3 linked regions of the Drosophila melanogaster genome follow. The protein of the gene in region 1 interacts with the protein of each later gene in a pairwise test. Each region holds a gene or a part of one and is shown in the gene's direction. Other genes may lie near its edges.

The links.
Region 2: the proteins of Mcm2 (region 1) and Ctf4 interact in a two-hybrid assay, tested with the Drosophila melanogaster proteins (one study listed by BioGRID).
Region 3: the proteins of Mcm2 (region 1) and Mcm10 interact in a two-hybrid assay, tested with the Drosophila melanogaster proteins (one study listed by BioGRID).

Annotation. Positions count from the first base shown.
Region 1 is NT_033777.3:8,262,239-8,269,044, forward strand, and holds Mcm2 (minichromosome maintenance 2), read left to right. Parts: upstream 1-2,731; 5' UTR 2,732-2,862; coding exon 2,863-5,001; intron 5,002-5,058; coding exon 5,059-5,583; 3' UTR 5,584-5,686; downstream 5,687-6,806. Other genes in the region: RPA1 (replication protein A1), read right to left, coding at 124-435, 515-1,733, 1,791-2,035, 2,097-2,132; CG9630 (uncharacterized protein), read right to left, coding at 5,763-6,806. UniProt on the Drosophila melanogaster protein: Acts as a component of the MCM2-7 complex (MCM complex) which is the replicative helicase essential for 'once per cell cycle' DNA replication initiation and elongation in eukaryotic cells.
Region 2 is NT_033778.4:13,979,027-13,985,991, reverse strand, and holds Ctf4 (chromosome transmission fidelity 4), read left to right. Parts: upstream 1-2,674; 5' UTR 2,675-2,756; coding exon 2,757-5,444; 3' UTR 5,445-5,630; downstream 5,631-6,965. Other genes in the region: CG8067 (uncharacterized protein), read right to left, coding at 1,186-1,794, 1,852-2,107, 2,169-2,305; CG6701 (uncharacterized protein), read left to right, coding at 6,652-6,808, 6,875-6,965.
Region 3 is NT_033779.5:21,177,368-21,183,803, forward strand, and holds Mcm10 (minichromosome maintenance 10), read left to right. Parts: upstream 1-2,565; 5' UTR 2,566-2,663; coding exon 2,664-3,825; intron 3,826-3,885; coding exon 3,886-5,054; 3' UTR 5,055-5,445; downstream 5,446-6,436. Other genes in the region: bur (burgundy), read right to left, coding at 1-142, 204-293; Ret oncogene, read right to left, coding at 5,806-6,436. UniProt on the Drosophila melanogaster protein: Proposed to be involved in DNA replication and to participate in the activation of the pre-replication complex (pre-RC). May be involved in chromosome condensation.

The DNA of each region.
Region 1 (6,806 bases):
GGAAGCGTAGCTGAATAACAACCCATTCACAATATTTGGAAATAACGTATGTAATGTAATGAATAAATGTATAGCCTATTCCTAATTTATGGGAAACGTGTTTTGGCGCACTGCGCATGGAACTCAGTTTGATGAGCCAATGCCGGTTAGCTCCTGCAGCTCCTTGAGCAAGTGCTTATTGTACTCCTTGTGATTGATAGGGGCTACAGACTGCACAGTGAGCTTGTTGCGAGTCATGTCCCCGTAAACCTCGTTCTTGCAGCGCAGCTTAAAGATGTGTGAAGTGAAGTTGAGTGCTGAGAAAATCTGCTCGGCTTTGGCAGGGTCGTTCTCAAGGGCCTCACCCACTTCCTGCGAAGTGTGCCCGAGAAGCTGTTCACCGACCTCGTTAAAACTGCTGACCCAACGGTTGGAAGTCCAGTCCCCGATGCTCATCTAAAAAAAAGGTATTGATATCAGTTAATGAAATTGTATTTAAAGTTAGAAAGCTAAATGTTTCACAGCAAATACATACGTTGATCAGCAGTCGGTACTTAAAGTTGGGAAACAGTGCGTTACATTTCTCGCAGCGGAACTGGTCGTTGCCCTCATCGACAACCTTCTTGTTGCAGTCGCTCTGAGGGCAGGCTCGGTAGAAAGCATTTTCCTGTTTGACAATGTGCACCACTGCCTTGCACTGGAAGTAATCAGGCTTGTCGCCGCTGCCGAGATTGCGAGCCCGCGCATCCTTAAGCGTCATCCATTCAGTAGAGAAGCTTCCTCCGCCCGTTCGCGCCGAAACCATATTGGCGACACTGTCACCACCTCCATTGTCGAACCAGCCGCGCAGCTTATGTGCCTCGGGTATATCGGGGTTAATCTTCATGATTGAGCCACCGCCGAGGCTCAAGGACTTTCCGCCATTGAACTCGTTAATGCGTGTTCCCTTGACCAGGATCACAGGCTGCACATGACCGTCAAAGTTAACGGCATCATCCCCCCAAAGGGTCAAGCTGATGGCCGAGTTACTCATGTCCACTAGGGTTATGTCCCGTTTCTTGAATTCCTTGTTTGTGGTGCGAGCTACGAATGATTGCAACTCGCCCACCTCCTTGCAAATTCCTATTGTGTCTACCGCTGCTTTATTTTCCATACCCGACACATCGGAAATAGGAACAAGGTTGTACTTAATTTCCGGTATGGGATCATCGTCGGTATCCTCACAAAGCTGGACAACTGTTTCACCGGAAAAAGTCATCTCGTAGGCGTTGTTCAGCGAAGAGTACTGCTTGTTTGCCGGTTTCAATTGACACTTTGATATATAGTACACGCTATCCACTTGAATGAGGTCGTAGAACTTATCGCACTGTTCCTTGAAGGCAGTGGCCCGAATTTCGCCCGATTCGTCCATTAAATCCATGCTGAACAACTTGCCCTCGCCGCGGGCATTGCTCCAGGTGCGAATGCCGGATTTTGAGGTCACGCGAGCCTTAATCACCCACTTATTTTGGTAGGGACTTAGGCTAGAAATGGGATGTGTCATTCCACTATTAATAGAGGAATTCATTACTATGTTATTATTGTTGTTGTGGCTCGGTTCCTTTTTGGCAATTGGCTTGGAATTAGATGTTACTGCTGGCTTAGGCGCCAGATCCTGCTTGGCTGCATTTTCATACGTAACGGGTTCGCCAATTTTGGACTTAACCTCGGCGCCAGGATTCACCACAGTTAGTTCGGAAATGATGAGAACGCGTCTAAAAGGAAAACATATGTTACTATACTGTCGAAAGTCTGTTTTACAGCGTACTTACTTTCCGGCTCCGTCCTTGCCTACCAGTGAGGTCACATATTTATCTAGCTGGACAATGGTGAACTCCTCTAATTCTCCATTGTGCTGCATCACGTTCAGCTGACTGGCCAGCATCGCATAGCTGTTAAAGTACTTGCCGTCGGAGATTAGGATGCGATAGCGCTCTGAGTCCGCTGCGCTGTTAATCTTCTTGATTGCCAGGATCTGGAGAACCGGGGCATCCACAACCTCGCCATGCATAATGCGCTGTGGCCGGTAGTACGATGTGTTACTATACCAATCCATTATTTTAAGCTGGCATACTTACAGCAATCACACCAGTGGACAAAGATGCCAGGACCATTTTGATTATAAAAATAAGTTGGGCAATTTCACAAGCAAATATAATTCATGCGTCGAGGGCTGGGTACAAAGTGAAGCTAGAAGAGGCGGGAAGGGCTTCTGTGTAATTTTGAATCAGTTGTTGCGGAACTAGTTCAATTTGCTTTCCAGTTAGAGCTGTATTTCAGGGCAGTAAAGTTTTGGTTGCTTAAGAGAAAACATTTATTTTACTTTATTATTACTATTTCCTACAGCAACATATTGAGAATAATTGTCTATTATTTTGACACATAGCTTTAAGCTTGACTTACATTGTTTGTGTTAATGCTCACAACTAGTTATTGTAAGCATTTCTATTTCAATGGAATTATAAATATTTAATAACTGTGTGATATTTTATTGACACATTCTTTGTATTAAAGCCTACATTCAGTGCCTTGTAAACTTTTTAAATTGAATGGTGTAATATATATATTTAAAATTTTTTGTAAGCTCTTTAAACTCGGTGATATTTTATTGACACAAGGAAAGTTGTTACAGTCGGGTGTTCTTATAAACATGTATGCAGAAGCGGGTGTCCACTGTATGACCCAGACGTTAACAGCACTGCTTATCGGAACTAGACCGCAGCCCTGAGTTGGCTCGATTAGCAAACATTTTCCCGCGCATTTTCGCACGCGTCGTCACAACAAGATCGGCGGTACAAAACAAAACATATTACAGATAAACGCTAAGCACAACAGACGCACGTAATGGACAATCCCAGTTCACCACCGCCAAATACGCCCAGCGATGCCGCCGAACGCCGCGATCTGCGGGCAGCAATGACGTCGCCGGTTGGCGACTTTGAGCCGTTCGAGAACGAGGACGAGATCCTGGGAGATCAGACCGTTCGCGATGAGGCCGAGGAGGAGGATGGCGAGGAGCTGTTCGGGGACAACATGGAGAACGATTACCGGCCCATGCCTGAGCTGGATCACTACGATCCGGCGCTGCTGGACGACGAGGATGACTTCTCGGAGATGTCCCAGGGCGATCGCTTTGCCGCCGAGTCGGAGATGCGTCGACGCGACCGGGCCGCCGGAATCCACCGCGACGATCGTGATCTGGGTTTCGGTCAGTCCGATGATGAGGACGACGTTGGACCCCGGGCCAAGAGACGAGCTGGCGAGAAGGCAGCTGTTGGCGAGGTAGAGGACACCGAGATGGTGGAGTCTATTGAAAACCTGGAGGATACCAAGGGACACTCAACTAAAGAGTGGGTCAGTATGCTAGGACCACGCACGGAAATCGCCAATCGCTTTCAATCCTTTTTGAGAACTTTTGTGGATGAAAGGGGCGCATACACCTATCGTGATCGCATACGTCGGATGTGCGAGCAGAACATGTCTTCGTTCGTCGTCTCCTACACTGATCTGGCCAACAAGGAACACGTATTGGCCTATTTCCTGCCCGAGGCTCCCTTTCAAATGCTCGAGATTTTCGATAAAGTGGCTAAGGACATGGTGCTCTCCATTTTCCCCACTTACGAACGTGTCACCACAGAGATTCACGTGCGCATCTCGGAGCTGCCGCTGATCGAGGAGCTGCGCACATTCAGAAAACTGCATCTGAACCAGTTGGTTCGCACTTTGGGCGTGGTAACTGCCACCACCGGAGTTCTTCCCCAGCTATCCGTGATCAAGTACGACTGCGTTAAGTGCGGCTATGTGCTGGGTCCCTTCGTTCAGTCGCAAAATACGGAGATAAAGCCCGGTTCCTGCCCAGAGTGCCAGAGCACTGGACCCTTCTCAATCAACATGGAGCAGACGTTGTATCGAAATTATCAAAAGATCACGTTGCAGGAGTCGCCAGGCAGGATTCCAGCCGGACGCATTCCTCGCAGCAAGGATGTCATTTTGCTCGCTGATTTGTGTGATCAATGCAAGCCTGGAGATGAACTTGAGGTCACAGGTATATATACCAATAACTACGATGGCTCCTTGAACACCGACCAAGGATTTCCCGTGTTTGCCACCGTGATTATTGCCAATCATGTGGTTGTAAAGGACTCCAAGCAGGTAGTGCAGTCGCTTACGGACGAGGACATTGCCACCATTCAGAAGTTGAGCAAGGATCCGCGTATCGTAGAGCGTGTAGTAGCATCCATGGCGCCTTCTATATACGGACATGATTATATCAAGAGGGCGCTGGCCTTAGCTCTCTTTGGGGGTGAGTCAAAGAATCCCGGTGAGAAACACAAGGTTAGAGGTGATATAAACCTACTCATCTGTGGAGATCCCGGAACGGCAAAGTCGCAGTTCCTCAAGTACACCGAAAAGGTTGCGCCACGTGCGGTTTTCACGACTGGGCAGGGAGCCAGTGCCGTGGGTCTCACGGCTTATGTGCGCCGCAATCCAGTATCTCGGGAGTGGACATTGGAAGCGGGTGCTCTGGTTCTGGCTGATCAGGGAGTTTGTCTAATCGACGAGTTCGACAAAATGAACGACCAGGATCGTACCTCTATTCACGAAGCCATGGAGCAGCAGTCTATTTCGATTTCCAAGGCTGGTATTGTCACCTCTCTTCAAGCTCGTTGCACCGTGATTGCTGCTGCCAATCCCATTGGCGGTCGCTATGATCCGTCGATGACCTTCTCGGAGAACGTGAATCTCTCGGAGCCCATCCTGTCCCGTTTCGATGTGCTGTGCGTGGTGAAGGACGAATTTGACCCCATGCAGGATCAGCAGCTCGCCAAATTCGTGGTACACTCGCATATGAAGCATCACCCGAGTGAGGAGGAGCAGCCGGAGTTGGAGGAACCACAGCTGAAGACCGTTGATGAGATCCCGCAGGACTTGTTGCGACAATACATTGTATACGCTAAGGAGAACATTCGGCCCAAGCTAACGGTAAGCGAACTTATTGAAATCACAGGAAAAGTGTAACAACATTTCCGTTTCATACAGAACATCGACGAGGACAAGATCGCCAAGATGTACGCCCAGCTGCGACAGGAGTCTTTTGCCACGGGCTCACTGCCCATTACGGTGCGTCACATTGAGAGTGTCATCCGAATGTCCGAAGCGCACGCGCGGATGCATCTGCGCGAAAACGTAATGGAGGCAGATGTCAGCATGGCCATCCGCATGATGTTGGAGAGCTTTATCGAGGCGCAGAAGTTCAGCGTTATGAAGAAGATGCGCAGCACATTCCAGAAGTACCTGTCCTTCCAAAAGGACCATTCCGAGCTGCTGTTCTTTATTCTGCGACAGCTGACGCTCGACCAGCTCGCCTACATTCGCTGCAAGGACGGGCCTGGCGCCACACATGTGGAGATTATGGAGCGGGATTTGATCGAACGGGCTAAGCAGCTGGATATTGTAAACCTGAAGCCGTTCTACGAATCAGATCTGTTTCGCACAAATGGCTTCTCTTACGATCCCAAGCGACGCATCATCCTTCAAATTGTGGTCGACGGCAACACAGCTTAAGTTTCAGCCATTTACTTCATCTCATTTAGTTATAGTATTCATGTTTTGTTACCCCCATTTTCGGTCTAATAAAGTTTGATATACTTATGTATGTATTTATACTAAAATAGGTATTTGAATTGAAATTTATACTTCCGTAAATATTTTTTATTGTGCATACAAATCAGCCCCAGAGTATGTCAATCGTTGTTCCCTTCGATGCCCATGGCTTTGTCGAAATCTTCCTCGCTAATCTTGTTCTTTTTCAGCCGCTTGAAGAGCCGAATATCGCTGGCCAGTTCATCGAGGTCCTCCTGGCTGAACTGCTGCCTCTTTTTTCCCTTCCCGGACCTGCTCGCCTCCGCCTCTGCCGCTTTCTTTCGCTGCTTCTTCGCCTTGCGCAGCTCCTTCTTAGACTTGGCATCCAGTTTTGCCTTCTTTGTCTGATCCCAGGACTCAACACGCTTTTTGTGCTGCTTTTGGCCCGGCCAGCTTCCCGTTTGCTCGTAAGTTTCCATTTTCTTTTGCCGGACTTGTTCTTTCTGGGCGTTTTTGTAGGTAAGTTTGGATAAATCCACTTCAAAAGCAGGCGCCACATAGCCGCCGCCCTGGTAGTTCTTTAGCTCCGGCATGCGTGGCAGTTGCAGGAGACCGTAAGCAGTGGCCATCTTGCCCAGGTCCAGATCCTTTAGTCGCAGAATAGCGCTGCATTCGTGTTTGGTGTATGCTCTAACATGGGAAACAAAAGCGCGCATGCCTTTGTCATAGACGCCCTTGTCGGCCGCCTGCAGCCGATGGAGTTGATCTAAGACGGCTGGTAGCTTCTTTTTTTCACGATCTGCATCCTCAGCCTCCTCGGTTAGCAGTTTAGTTAGCTCCACTTTCTGGTTGATCTTCAGGAAGTGCACATAGGCATCCTCGCTGGGCAGGAGAAACACCAGAGCGTTGCCCTCGTTTCCCTGCCGAGCCGTGCGACCTACACGGTGTACAAAGCTGGAGGCAGTTGATGGTGGATCCCACTGCACTACCCACTCGATCTCAGGTACATCCAAACCACGTGCGAGGACATCTGTGCAGAGGAGTACGGCCTGTGGAGTGTTCCGAAACTTCTCCACCACATTGGCCCTCTTGTTTTTCATCTTTCCGTGGATTCCTAGCACTGTGCGTTTGGGCAAAAGAGGCGGCAGGGCCTCAGCCCAATACTCCACACAGGCGCAGGTGGGGAAAAAGACCATTACCTTTCC
Region 2 (6,965 bases), on another chromosome or scaffold:
AAGTGAGTATATATCCATAGTCGGTTACAGTCAAAATAATCTTGGTCACAATCAGATCTATAAGATCTATAATTTCCATATTATTTTGACTGTAACTCCTTGAAAGCATCGTTAGGCTCATCTTCTACGACCACATCCTTTGTAGCATTCACCTGAGGACCGCCAACATGCTGCAGAACACTCCGCAGCGCGAGATGCTCCTGGGCACCTGACGTCAACTGCCGCCCGCGTCCGTCGCGGCGCAGGCAGCTGCAGAGAATCGCCAAACACTCACCACAGCCACCTCTGCGGGATTAGCAGTAGCAGGAGCAACGGAAGCTAGCCCCACATCCTCACCGAGAGCTACGCCCACACCGCCGCCCGTGCCGCCGAGATCTCCGCTGTCGCTGGGATGACTAGCAAAGCAAAAGGCGGCGGCCAACCGGAGCGGGATCACCTAGTTCCTGGTACTAGCCGTCGTCTGCCTTTGATTAGCCTTAAGTCTTCAAGCCCTGCCACCGCTGCAAACACTAGAGCTAGGCCTTCCATGGGTGCAGCCAATAGCAATCACCAAGCTTCGAGAGAATGAGACCACACACACACACACTTTGTACATACACCGCGGGAAGCTTGGGGCACGACTTGGTAGTGACTTAGATGCGCCAAATTAAATTTACAACAGTTACGAGTTAAACAATTGATAAAAGCAATCGAGAATTACATAAAATACATAAAAACTGCTAATGGAACAATATTTAAGCAAGAGCAAATCGTATCTAATACAACTACAAAGCGGTTAGAAGTCTATTTAATTGCAAATTGAATTCAACTCAAGCATATATATTATAGAAATTGTTGTAAATTGTACTTGTATATACGTACCAAACAAAATACAAAGCAACGTTAAAAAGTTACGTCCATGAAATGCAAACGAATGTAAAGGCGAAAGGCAACCAAATATTAATTGAAAACTATAGATAACAGAATCGTACGATTACGCTAGATTTATGTATAGTTATACCCTCATAGCAGTACACGAACCGAGCAAACTGACAAATGAATTGAGTATTTACCATTAATTTCATGATTAAACTTTACACAAACATGAATCACTAGTTTAAGTTTCTCAGCAAAAGGAATTATGTATATTTTAATTTAAATTATGTTCAACAACGTCTCCAAATAAAACTGTCAACTGAAGCTAAGCTAATCTCCCGCTTTGGTGTCCAGCTTGCCGCCCTTTTCGATAATCGACCCTAGATCCTTGAGCGACACCTCACCGGTTCCTCTTTCCAGAGGCTGTGGCTGATTGGGACCGGGTTTCCAGCCCACAAAGTAGATGATTTGGAAGGTTGCAGGTATCCCCTTCTCGTTGGGCTTTGCATACAGCTCCTGGTAGATGGCACTGGCCGCGAGCATCGTTTCTCGACTAAGATGAGCGGGTCGATTGAATGCAGCATTGTTCTCTGCCATACCCTTGAGATCCCACATCAGTTCGAACATGCTGGGATAGCCGATGACCAGTTCATCGGTGTCTATTGTCAGCATGGTGAAGCCGGCGCGATTAAGCAGGGAACCAATATCCCTAATCTGAGTGAAGGGCGAGATGTGCGGAGATATGCCACCTTTGCGCTCCAGCTCGGCCAATTGGAGCGAGGAGCGCAGCTCGTAGAGGGTGTCTCCACCAAACATGGAGGCTATAAAGACCCCATCCGGTTTCAGACTCTGCTTAATTCTGACAAAGCAGCCCGGCAGATCATTCACCCAGTGCAGACTTAGGCTAGAGATGACCAGATCCAGTGAATTGTCCTCAAACTGAAAGGGATTCTCATTTAGACTTGCAACTTTGGTCTAAGTAGATTAATTACCCACATCCAGCTGCTCTTCGTCCTTAACTAGTTTCACCATTTTCAGACCCGGAGTGCCCTGTGCCTGCTCCAGCATCGTAGCACTGGTGTCCGTGAGCGTCAGCTGCTCCACACTCTCCGCCAGAATGTGTCTGGACAGATAGCCGCGACTGCATCCGATATCCGCCGCCGCCTTGAACTCCCGCTTAATGTCGAATACTCTGTCAGCCAGGCGGAAGCCGATCTCCTCCTTCAAGTAATCGTATAGTCCAACGTCTTCGCTGTATACGTATATTGTTTACTAATTGAATATATACTCTAATCCTGGCGAGAAGATCTCACCTGAGTGCGGCCCTTTCCTTCTGTAATCTCTTGGCATTGCGGTCAAATATATGTTGCGATGTTTGGGTGAGTGAGGATAGGGCGCGGAGTTCACATTTGACCTTTAAGGTCGATAGTTTTGTTAATTTTCTTAACATATTCCGACTTTTGATCAGAGCAGTGCTGTAATAAGCAACCGGCTGCGGGAAAATGAAAATATTACATTTTTAAAATGGAAAGTCGAAGTATGTATACCCTACATGTCTTATATCTTGTGGATTCTTAAATTTTTCTATTTATGAAAGTAATACCAATGTTGTTTAAACAATTGAAACGTCATGTGTGACTATTTACAAATTATGTATACAATGTTTCACGTATTATTGAATTTAAATTATTAACGGGAACGTGGTGATATATTTTTTTTAATATTTAAAAAGAAAGAGTATTGAACGAACAGCTGTTGGCCAGTGCTGGAAAAGAGCGACATCAAGACATTCCCATTCGGCCGTTGGCTTACACTGTTAGGTAGTGCCTATTTGTTTTGGCGCCAAAAGTGACGGGAGGTCATCGCGAGAGATCAATTGAAATTAAGCATTAAATCACATCATGAGCTTCTTGCGCAGTGCCCTGCGCTATGCCCACACCAATGGCTACACGGGACTCCTTTACACTCCGCGCGGCGAGTTCATCATCACGTGCGGCACAGATGGAGACATCCGGCACTGGACCTGCATTAGTGACGACGATCCACGCTCAAGTTGCCTGGGCGAGTTCGTCATGTGCATAGCCCACACGGGAACCCGTTTGCTGGCCTCGACGGATCGGAATACGATCCATGCCTACACCTTTCCCGAGATGGACAGCGATGGCATCCTCATGCGATTCACGGCACCGGCTACGTGCCTCAAGGTATCCGGTGGCTATACTGCTGCCGGCAGCGAGGATACCACTATAAAGGTGCTTAAGGGAGATACAGCTGGCAACGAAACGGTGCTGGAGGGGCACACTGGTCCCATTCTGGCACTGGACTTGTTTGCGGAGCGAAAGCTGCTGGTTTCCGTGGCCGGGGATGGCCAACTGAAGGTGTGGAACTTCGAGGAGGGCAAGGAGCTGAAGACCATTGGGGGCTTGCCAAAGGTCAACAGTTTCGAGAGCGCCAGCCTGTATGGCACTCCGCATTTCGAGCCACAAAGCGGTGAACTTCTGGCCTATGCCGTTGACAACGAGATTGTGGTCCTCAACACGGCCAACTGGGAAGTGGCCTTTAAGCTGCGCGACGACTCGGTGTCCAGTAACTACAGCTGCTGCCAGTTCTCGCCCAATGGTGAGCGCCTGGCCGCCGGAACAACCAAGGGCGAGGTGAGCATCTTCGATGTAAAGAAACGGAAGGCAGTAACAGTGGAGATTCCGCCAAGCGACTGCAATGCCATAACATGCCTTGCCTGGAATCTGTCCGGAGAGGTGGAGGTGGCCTTCTGCGATGCCACTGGCCAGCTGGGAACCGTATTTCTTGGCGATGCAGTCGACACAGGCAACGGCGATGGATTGGTGGACGACCAAGCCGAGCTGTTGGGCGATGACTATGAGTTTGAGGCCGGCGATGACGTGGACACTGCAGCAGACGACGGCGATGGCGTTAGTCTGGAACAGCTTAAGCGCAAGGTGATGAACTTTGCGGATCCCGTAGATCACGATGACGCCTCCAACCAATCCCTGGACAGCAGTAGCCGAACTGTACCTGCACCCGTTGCCCCGCAAATCAAGCTCTTCAAGCAGCAGACGGCCTTTCAGCCCAGTGCCACACCGGCCGATCTAGAGCATCGCTACATGGCATGGAATGATGTGGGCATTGTTACCGCCCATGTGGAGCCCTCAGGCGATAGCTCCATCGATGTGGAGTTCCACGACGCTAGTATTCACCACGCTCTACACATTAGTAACTACAATCAGCACAATTTGGCCAGTGTGAGCAGTGGAGCTTTGGCATTGGCCTCCAACGAATCCAGCAAGTTAGTAGTCATTGCTCTGGCCGCCGCCGGAAACAAAGAGTGGTCACTCAGCCTCCCGGATTGCGAGAGTGCAGAGGCTGTTGTGGCCACGCGATTTCTAGTGGCTGTGGCCACCAGCTCCAGTTTTCTGCGTATCTTCACCGTGATGGGTACACAGCGTGAGGTGCTAACCATACCAGGACCAATGGTGGCTATTGCTGGACACGAGCACAGCCTAATGGTTGTTTACCACAGTTCCGCGCCCAGTCAGACGCAGCAGCATCTCGCCGCGATGTTGGTGAACATAAATGGATTGAGTTTGCGACAAGAATATCTGCCCGTTCCGCTGACTCCAGGCCGGCAGCTCACCTGGTTTGGGTACAGCGACACCGGATCGCCGAGTATTGCCGACAACATGGGTCTGCTGCAGTTGTATCGCCGGAGCAGCAACGCCTGGTTCCCCATCTGCGACACCATGAAGCAAAGCACCAGTGTGTCGCACAACTTCTTTGTGGTCGCTGTATCCGAGAAACGTCAGATAGTCCAGGCGGTCCTGTGCCGCGGTACCTCCTATCCCATGACCAATCCGCGTCCCATGCTCCAGGAACTGCGTATGCAGATCCCGCTCTGCGACGTCGAAGTGGAAAAGTCCGAGCTGGAGGATGCACTGCTGCGGTCCAGTCTGATGCAAATGGATGGGGCAGAGAAGATGCAAAAGGAGACGGCCATCAAGCTGTTTGCATTGGCCTGCAGCAGCGAGTGCGAGACGCGAGCTAGGGAATTGATCGAATCGATTGCCTGCACTGATCTGCTTCAACTGGCCGTGAAATACGCCACGAAACGTGGACGCATCCACCTGTCCGACCGTCTGTGCGAACTGCTACCTCAATTGGAGGCGGTCCAGGAGGCACGCAAGCAGCAGACTTTGTTGGGTGCCAGCGGCATTGCGGCCACCATTGTTCTGCCAATGACTCCCACATCGGCCTCACAAAGCGGCCCAAAACCCAAGGCCATCGAGCTGAGCTCGGCCAAACGGGGCACCCTGAAGAGATTGGTCAATTCACCCAATATGTTTAAAGCAGCAGCAGCATCGGCAGCATCCCGGCCCTCGACTCCGGATATCACACCCTCTCCGCTGGACACCCAGGAAAACATATTCGGCGAATCGGAATCCGAGGTTCCCATGGGTAAAGCCACCGATCACCGGTCCCCTTTGAATTCGGTTAATCCCTTTGCTATGAAGCGCAAACTGGGCGACACTGGAGTCATCTTTGGATCCGAAAAGCTGAAGCTGGCAAAGAAATAGTCTGTTTGTAGATTGATAAGTAGGTTTAAGATAAATATATTATATAAATAATGTGTAACGTTTATCCCATTCTGTGAGCTACATGTAAAATAACAAATTTTTATTTGAGCTTTTTATGGAACAGAATTGTTAAGGATTAATTTGCTTATTTAAATTTAAAGAATAAAATATACTTTTATTTATATTAAAATGTATATTCTTTAAAAAGCGGAGGGTACAAGTTTATTTAAAATATGATCAATATATTTTTAAATATTTTAAAATTCTACAAATTAAACATTCTGGTCTCCAAAGAATACCGTTGGTATTTTTATCTTTGGAATTAAACCAACCAAATAGTGTGACCAAACTTTGTAAATGACATTAATCGATCGAAACGATCATTTTAGGCTGGATTTTCCACGACTTTCAAGTCAAAGTTATGTGTTCGTTTAATTCTATTTTGTAAATAAGTGTTACACGCTCAAATTCCAACATAAAATTACACACTCATACACATAGGAAAAAACACAATATAAAGGTTAGAAATAATAAGCAAAAAAGGTGCTAGATATATCAAAAAAATAAATATATATATTTTTTAAATAACAAACTAAATTGACAGTTACATACACGTATGTAAGTATTGCGGCAGCGAGTGCTTCCTTTTGCGTTGTTTACGAAATTCTCGCCACTGGAAGAAAGCTAAAGAACTCCGTAATGAATTTCCAGTTCCAGCGAACTGATCACCGCTATTCAGAAGGCTCTCTGCTGCAGACGCAAACACACACACAAGCAGGCAAACACACAGGGACATCGTTAAAATCTAAAGATGGAGAGACTCTATTTCCAATTTAATGTTGAATTAGTTTTCGTTGAAGCCATTTTTTAACCCAACAACTTTTTTAAGAAATCCCCGTCTGGGTAACCCGTGCATATAAAACCCAACGCTCGCGCATCACTCTCTTCATTTGTTACCTGAACGTTACGCCGTGCATTTCGATCGTCAGCTGAATAGTACATACTATATCATATATAATATTTCAACGTGTGTGTGTGTCTGCGTCTTTGCGTTTTGTTCGCGTCAAATAAGTAACTTAATTGCGATTATTCGCAACAACAATTATCGATCCTACCCTTTTTGTTTGAGTGAGTGTATTACAATAACAAAAACATAGAAAAAAACAACAGGAAAAAATCAGTACAAAATAAAGAACATCAAGCCAAAATGACAAAAAATAAAAAGAACATAATCAACAATAACAATGGCAACGCAACCCCGCCGGACTTCCCAACACCGCCACCGACGCCACCGATCAATGCCGGTATCAAACCGCCCGGCACCTACGCCAATGGAATGCCTCGCAAGCCGACGGTTCCGTGGGGTAAGCTATATACTATGTATATACTATATATGATCCATAACATCGGATCACTTTTCACGGGCACAGAGCGCGAGTTGATGGGCTCGTTTTTGCTGGAGATGGCCAGACTCCAGGTGATAAGCGCCCAAACGGAGTGGTACGTGGACAAGGCCAAAAT
Region 3 (6,436 bases), on another chromosome or scaffold:
GCGCATCCTCAGCGTAGACTGAGTTGGGTCCGCCGGAGATGATGATGCCTCGATAGCCATTGTTGCGTATCGTGGCAGCTGGCGTATCCAGAGGAAGGATATCCGTCTCAACGAAGAGTTCGCGTACCTTACGGTCGATAACCTGCGGAGAAACCAGGACCATTTTAAGAAGAGGTTAAAACTACTCTTGGTTTTAAGCTTACCTTGCCGTACTGTGCTCCCGCATCAAGTATAACAATCTTATCATGCCGCAGGCCATTCTCTGCTGTGCCCAGAAAAATGTTTGAGTTCATTTCTTTATCGTTGCAGCACTGAAAAGAGCAAAGATTTGAGTGTCAGTCAAGCAATCGCAGAAACAAACACCGAATCTCGACTGGCTGGTAAACGCGCTTCTGCTGCTTATTTATACTCCAATTGTGGCTGCAATCGACGCTACAGAAACAAGGCTAAAAGCTGGCTAGGAGGTGGGGAAAATAGGTTTCGGATTGGGGCAATCGCGGAGATTGAGATTTGTGGTACAGAAGGCTCACATACCGGCAATATCTTGTGGAGCACTCGCAGAAACATTCAACATGCAGCTGGCCAGGACGCTCTACGATAGACAATAAACATTGGCAAATATTTTCTTGTCACAGAAAGATGATTTGTGCAATGTGGAAAGAAATTTACAAGCGACGAAAAACAAGGCCGAGAGACGCCTACCAAAAATGATTCGCTGTGCATCGCGACGATTACGTTCTGTGGGTATTATTTATTTGACCAAATATAAAACATTTACGTATATGAATAAGCCTATAACTTAATCTTAATAATACCTGTTTATTTAACCGTGGTTAGAATTTAAGACAGAGTGTATTCACAGCCAGCATAAAATCATAGATACCATAGGAAAAAGTGCTCCAAATGATCATAGTTTGGTTTTTTAAAATAATATTAAATAGATATAATTTTTGTATAATTTTGGTCAACAGACTGAATTTGGATTAACAACATGAAAAACGAATTTTTGTGCCAGGAGTATCTGTCAATGCTATATACTTCTACATACTAAAGTAGATTATCAAAGCATGGAAGTTAACATTTAATTTTATAGACACATTTGTCCCATCAAAGAATTTAGAAAAACAGCAGGTCAGGAACATGCTTTTCGAATTCCCGAAGTAATCGGCGACTTAGTACATATATTTTAAAATACAAATTTCGATGCATGAGGATGAGGATGTGAGGAGGAAACGGAACGTAATGGTGATGGGGTCAGGGGGGAGGGCGCCGGCTACTGACCGCCAGATGACAGGCGAAAATACTAAGAGGAGAGTGGCAGCGGAAGCGAGAGAGAGCGAAAGATGAGCGGAGAAAAATGGCAGGTAAACGAAAACAGAGCTGAAAAGTGCACAAGTAAAATAGAAAACAAAAATAAACAACAACAATCCAGGAGACAAATCGACGGTAGCAAGTCTTCTTGTTTGCCATTTATTTTCTCTTGAAGTGTGTAAAAACGCAGCAGCAGCAATATGAAAAGCCTCTCCGAAGGTTAGGAGTGCATTAGGTCACTGAAGCGATGCGATGTCTGTGATGTAAGCCGTGCTCCTCCTTTGGCTCTCTCTCATTTTTGATAACAACATGCAAGAGGTTATCAGAAACGGCACAAACCACAGCAACAACAACTAAAGAGGGCGGCCGCGTGGTTGTAATTTAATACACATGCAGAAGGCACGCACACTTACACACGTGGAGCCGCCAACAAGCGGCGCTTATAACCACAAAATGGCCACGGGATATATTTGCAAAACATTTAAAAAATTGCAAATGCGGAGAACAAAAAATCGCAACAAAAGCAAAGGCAAATGCGGTTGAAGCTAATTTGCGAATTCAACGGGCGGGGTGCGGAATTGTGGGCGGAGCAGCACCGCATGGCGATTTGGCTGGGATCGGGGATCTTTTTCGCCATATTGCGACTCTCACCTTCTCTCGTTTTAGCCTGGCTGCGGTTTTCCAGAACCGGGAAGTCCGTCGGCAAGGCCGTGGAATACCGTGACAAGCAGCGCAAGACTTTGTCTTAAGACGAAATTCGCGATCCGTTGTTTGCGGTCCCCCGTTTTCCTTCCTCACGCACACACTCAAAATTTCTTCGGCTGCTGCAGCTTCTTTTCCGCGTATCCAGGGCTGCTCGACACAGCTGGCGATGAAATCCCTGTGATTTTCACGGCTGCGTTATTATGGCCGCTTCCAGGGACTTTCCTTTTGGATTTCCTGCAGTTTTTTCGCGAATTAAAGCCGAAAGATGACTTATTGACGAGCGGATGACCATATTTCGGATTTGGGAAAAATCCAGCTGTGCTGCAAACGAAAAATACCAGCTGTGAACGTTTTTGGTATTAATATTTACCAAATAAATAAATTTATATTTATTTCGAAAACAATGAAAATTCCTTAATAACATTACATTACTTCTTTATTAGGAGTGCTTAAGTATTCTTTTAAATAATGAATTATAATTAAAATTATAATCTGTTTGTACAGTGTTGACAAACGAGCACTTTTTGTAGAACCATATACATTACCCGGTCACACTGAGCCCGCCAAAACAGATATGTTATTGCGCTTATTTAGAAAACCAAGAAAAAACACGAGAACACGTGAAAATACAAATCTACCCAAATGAAATGGGTCCTGCTCAGAAATCCGGAACAGATATTAGTATCGATGATGAGGAGGAAATACTGGCTCTGGAAAAACTACTGGGTGCAGCAGAAAACGAAAATACAAAATCTGCAGAGTCAGAAAAAGCAAAACCCACCGCACCCATTTTGGTGCCAAAACTACGAGAAGACAACAGTTTTGCTAATGCCTTCACCTTCGAGAAGATCGTGAAACCGGAAAAGCAGAAGAATGCTGCTATCATTAAGGAACCAGAGCTGGACTCGTCCGACGACGAGGAGGTAAAGAACTTCCTGGAACGAAAGTACAATGAGTACGGCAGTGATATAAACAAGAGACTGAAGCAGCAGCAGGAGAACGCCTACGAGTCCAAGGTGGCGAGGGAGGTGGATCAGGAGCTTAAGAAGTCTATCCACGTGGTTACATCCACCCCGCAACCCCTGAAAAATCCGCATAATCCTATTAAACGGCAATCGGCGGTGAGCACCACGTTTCAACGTCCTCCGCCAGTCGCTGCCGCCGTGGCATCTACATCCCAGTCAAGTGCTCCCGTATCTGCTGTTTTTACGGATCCAGTCTTCGGACTGCGCATGATCAATCCGCTAGTCTCCAGCTCACTGCTGCAGGAGCGCATGACGGGCAGGAAACCTGTGCCCTTCTCAGGCGTTGCGTATCACATCGAGCGAGGCGATTTGGCCAAAGATTGGGTCATTGCTGGCGCGCTGGTTTCCAAAAATCCTGTAAAAAACACCAAGAAGGGTGATCCCTACTCCACGTGGAAACTATCCGATCTACGGGGAGAGGTTAAAACGATCTCACTTTTCCTTTTTAAAGAGGCCCACAAATCCCTGTGGAAAACAGCGGAGGGTCTGTGCTTGGCTGTGTTGAATCCAACTATTTTCGAGAGGAGAGCGGGAAGCTCCGATGTGGCCTGCCTATCCATCGATAGCTCCCAGAAAGTCATGATCCTGGGTCAATCCAAAGATTTGGGCACATGTCGGGCCACCAAAAAAAATGGGGACAAGTGCACTTCGGTGGTTAACCTAACCGACTGTGATTATTGCATTTTTCATGTAAAGCAGGAATATGGCAAGATGTCCCGACGTTCTGAACTGCAATCGGCGACCGCAGGTCGTGGTATCAATGAACTAAGAAACAAGGTTTTGGGTAGGTAGACTTTGATTTTGAAGAAAACTCAATATAACTTAGTTTTTTCTTTATGTTAAGGCAAAAACGAGGTATTTTACGGCGGCCAAACATTTACTGCAGTTCCCGCAAGAAAAAGTGCCAAGTTAATCACCAAGGAACGTGATCGTCTGAGTATGCTGGCTGGCTATGATGTTTCCCCCTTCGCCCATACCGCTAACCACACCTCAAAGCCCAAAACAGCCGAACCCACTAAAATTCCATATGCAGAACGTGGCGGTCCTGTTTCCCGTTTGGCTGGTGGTGTGGAAGCGTCTAGGAAACAGAGAGTCCAAGATCTAGAGCGGTTGCGTCTGCTTAAAGAGGAAAATGAGCGCTTTGAAAAAAAGAAGCAGGCGGAGGGCCATGTCTTGGGAAGTGATAACAAAAAAGAATCTGAAGCAGGCACACCCGCTGTCAGTATGCCCACTACACCTGTTCCAGATAAATTCAAAAATCGAGGCTTCTCCTTTGATGCCAGTTTAACGCCCAAGCTTTCCGGTAGCGAGAACTTTTCCTTTGAAATCAATGTAGGATCTCGCCAGGCACAAAATGCTAAGCTGAAAGCAGCTGCCCTGCTGAAGAAGAAGCCACTGGAGAAGATCAACCCCAACTCCACACGAGGCAGTGAAAGTGGGAAGAGAAGAGCCATCGATGAACTCAACGAGAAGTTCTCTAGCAGCGCCAAGCGACAAAAAATTGATGAGGACGATCGGGAGTTAATGCGCAAATCAAGAATCGAAAAAATAATGGCAGCCACCTCATCGCATACGAATCTCGTGGAAATGCGAGAGCGCGAAGCGCAGGAAGAGTACTTTAACAAGCTTGAACGCAAGGAAGCGATGGAAGAGAAGATGCTGACCACATACAAGATGCCATGCAAGGCCGTCATCTGCCAGGTGTGCAAGTACACAGCCTTTTCCGCTTCCGATCGCTGCAAGGAGCAGAAGCACCCCTTAAAGGTGGTCGATGCTGAAAAGCGATTCTTTCAGTGCAAAGACTGCGGAAATCGAACTACTACCGTATTCAAGTTGCCCAAACAGAGCTGTAAGAATTGCAAGGGGTCGCGATGGCAAAGGACGGCTATGATACGGGAGAAAAAGATACTGACTGGTAGAGAAACTCTATCCGTGAGAGGAGACGAGGAAACCTTTATGGGCTGCCTAGCAGGCAGTGCTAATCTCAACTTGCTGGTACCCGATGAAGAGTGATGCCCCAATTGGCCGCTATCTGTTATATTTGGTTTATTTTATTTTATATTATTTCAAATAATTTTTAAAAGTTAATTTAAACATATGCAGTAGATGCAAGTATTTACATTCATTAAAGTCATAAAAGTCATCGATAAATAAGTACATTGGTTCGAATACCTAAATATCTAGAGTGCCTGTGAGATTGTTTAAGATGTACCAGATGTACTCAATGATTAATAATGAAGGTTACTTATGATTGTTTAGCTTATGGCGTAAATAAATTGAAACTTATATTATGACTGCTATTACATTAAATGGACATTATAAATCAACCTAGCTTACTTTAGCAGAGTTTTACAATCTTAAATTGAAATAAATATCCAAATACAGAAAACCCCTTTTGAAGCACAAATATTCCTTTAAAAACTTTATTTATTGAGTGTAAAAATTCTTTGGGATAACCATTCATTCTTCTGGCATATAATAGGACGAACTTGGCAATTTACAAATAAAGTTAATTATCTTTTAAGAATATGGCTTTTTGAAGCAAAAGTAATAAGAAGTAATAATAAAAAAAACTAAGGCTGTCTTTGGCTAGTTAAAATAGTGTATAAATGCTTGGGAGTATTTGAAATCGAAATCGGTTATCTTAAAATCCATATTTGGCGTCAACGTAAAGCTAATTGATTATATGTAAAACTAAGACTAATCAACAAACAGTTTGAACTGAAAAACAGGCGTGAGATTAGAACTCTGGGAAACACTATTTCTAGACTGCATCCTCAGCTTGCCATCCTGGACTCACCTCCTTCGTTTCACTGAGATTCAGCAAACTAGAGAAACGGAACGAGATGGTCTTGGACAGATGCTTTTCAAACTCCCTGCTGTCCAGGTTGTCTGGGATGAGACTCTTGTTGGTCATATCCAGGTAGGATCGACCCCTCTTCACGGGGACAGAATAATGTGGCAGTGAGGTGGTCGCTGGAGGTTCACTGGTCATGTTGCTGTAGCTTGGAGTACAACTGGATTTCCGAATATTTAAGGGGAATCGCAAATCGTTTTCGTATCGCAAAACCTGCCCGTTGGCGGTAGCATCAAGCAAAGGTCGTGGTAAGTCGTAACCCGGCGGAGCCGTTGAAGTCACTGGCATCTCCTCCTCAGACTGATCGTAGCTGGTGGCCTGGTCATGGATGTCGTAGGCTATTTTGGGAGGTGACCAAAGGTGCTGCAACGATTCTGGTTCGCCCAATTCCGTGGTTATTAAGGCGGAATCATCCCCACAATAAAGGGGATTCGAAACGGCATTCGTTTCCAGATCTATGTACTTGGCATTGTTTCCCAATAGCTTCTCAAACTCCGATGCTAAAAACTTGAATGAGGGTCTTCCATTTGGCTCGTCT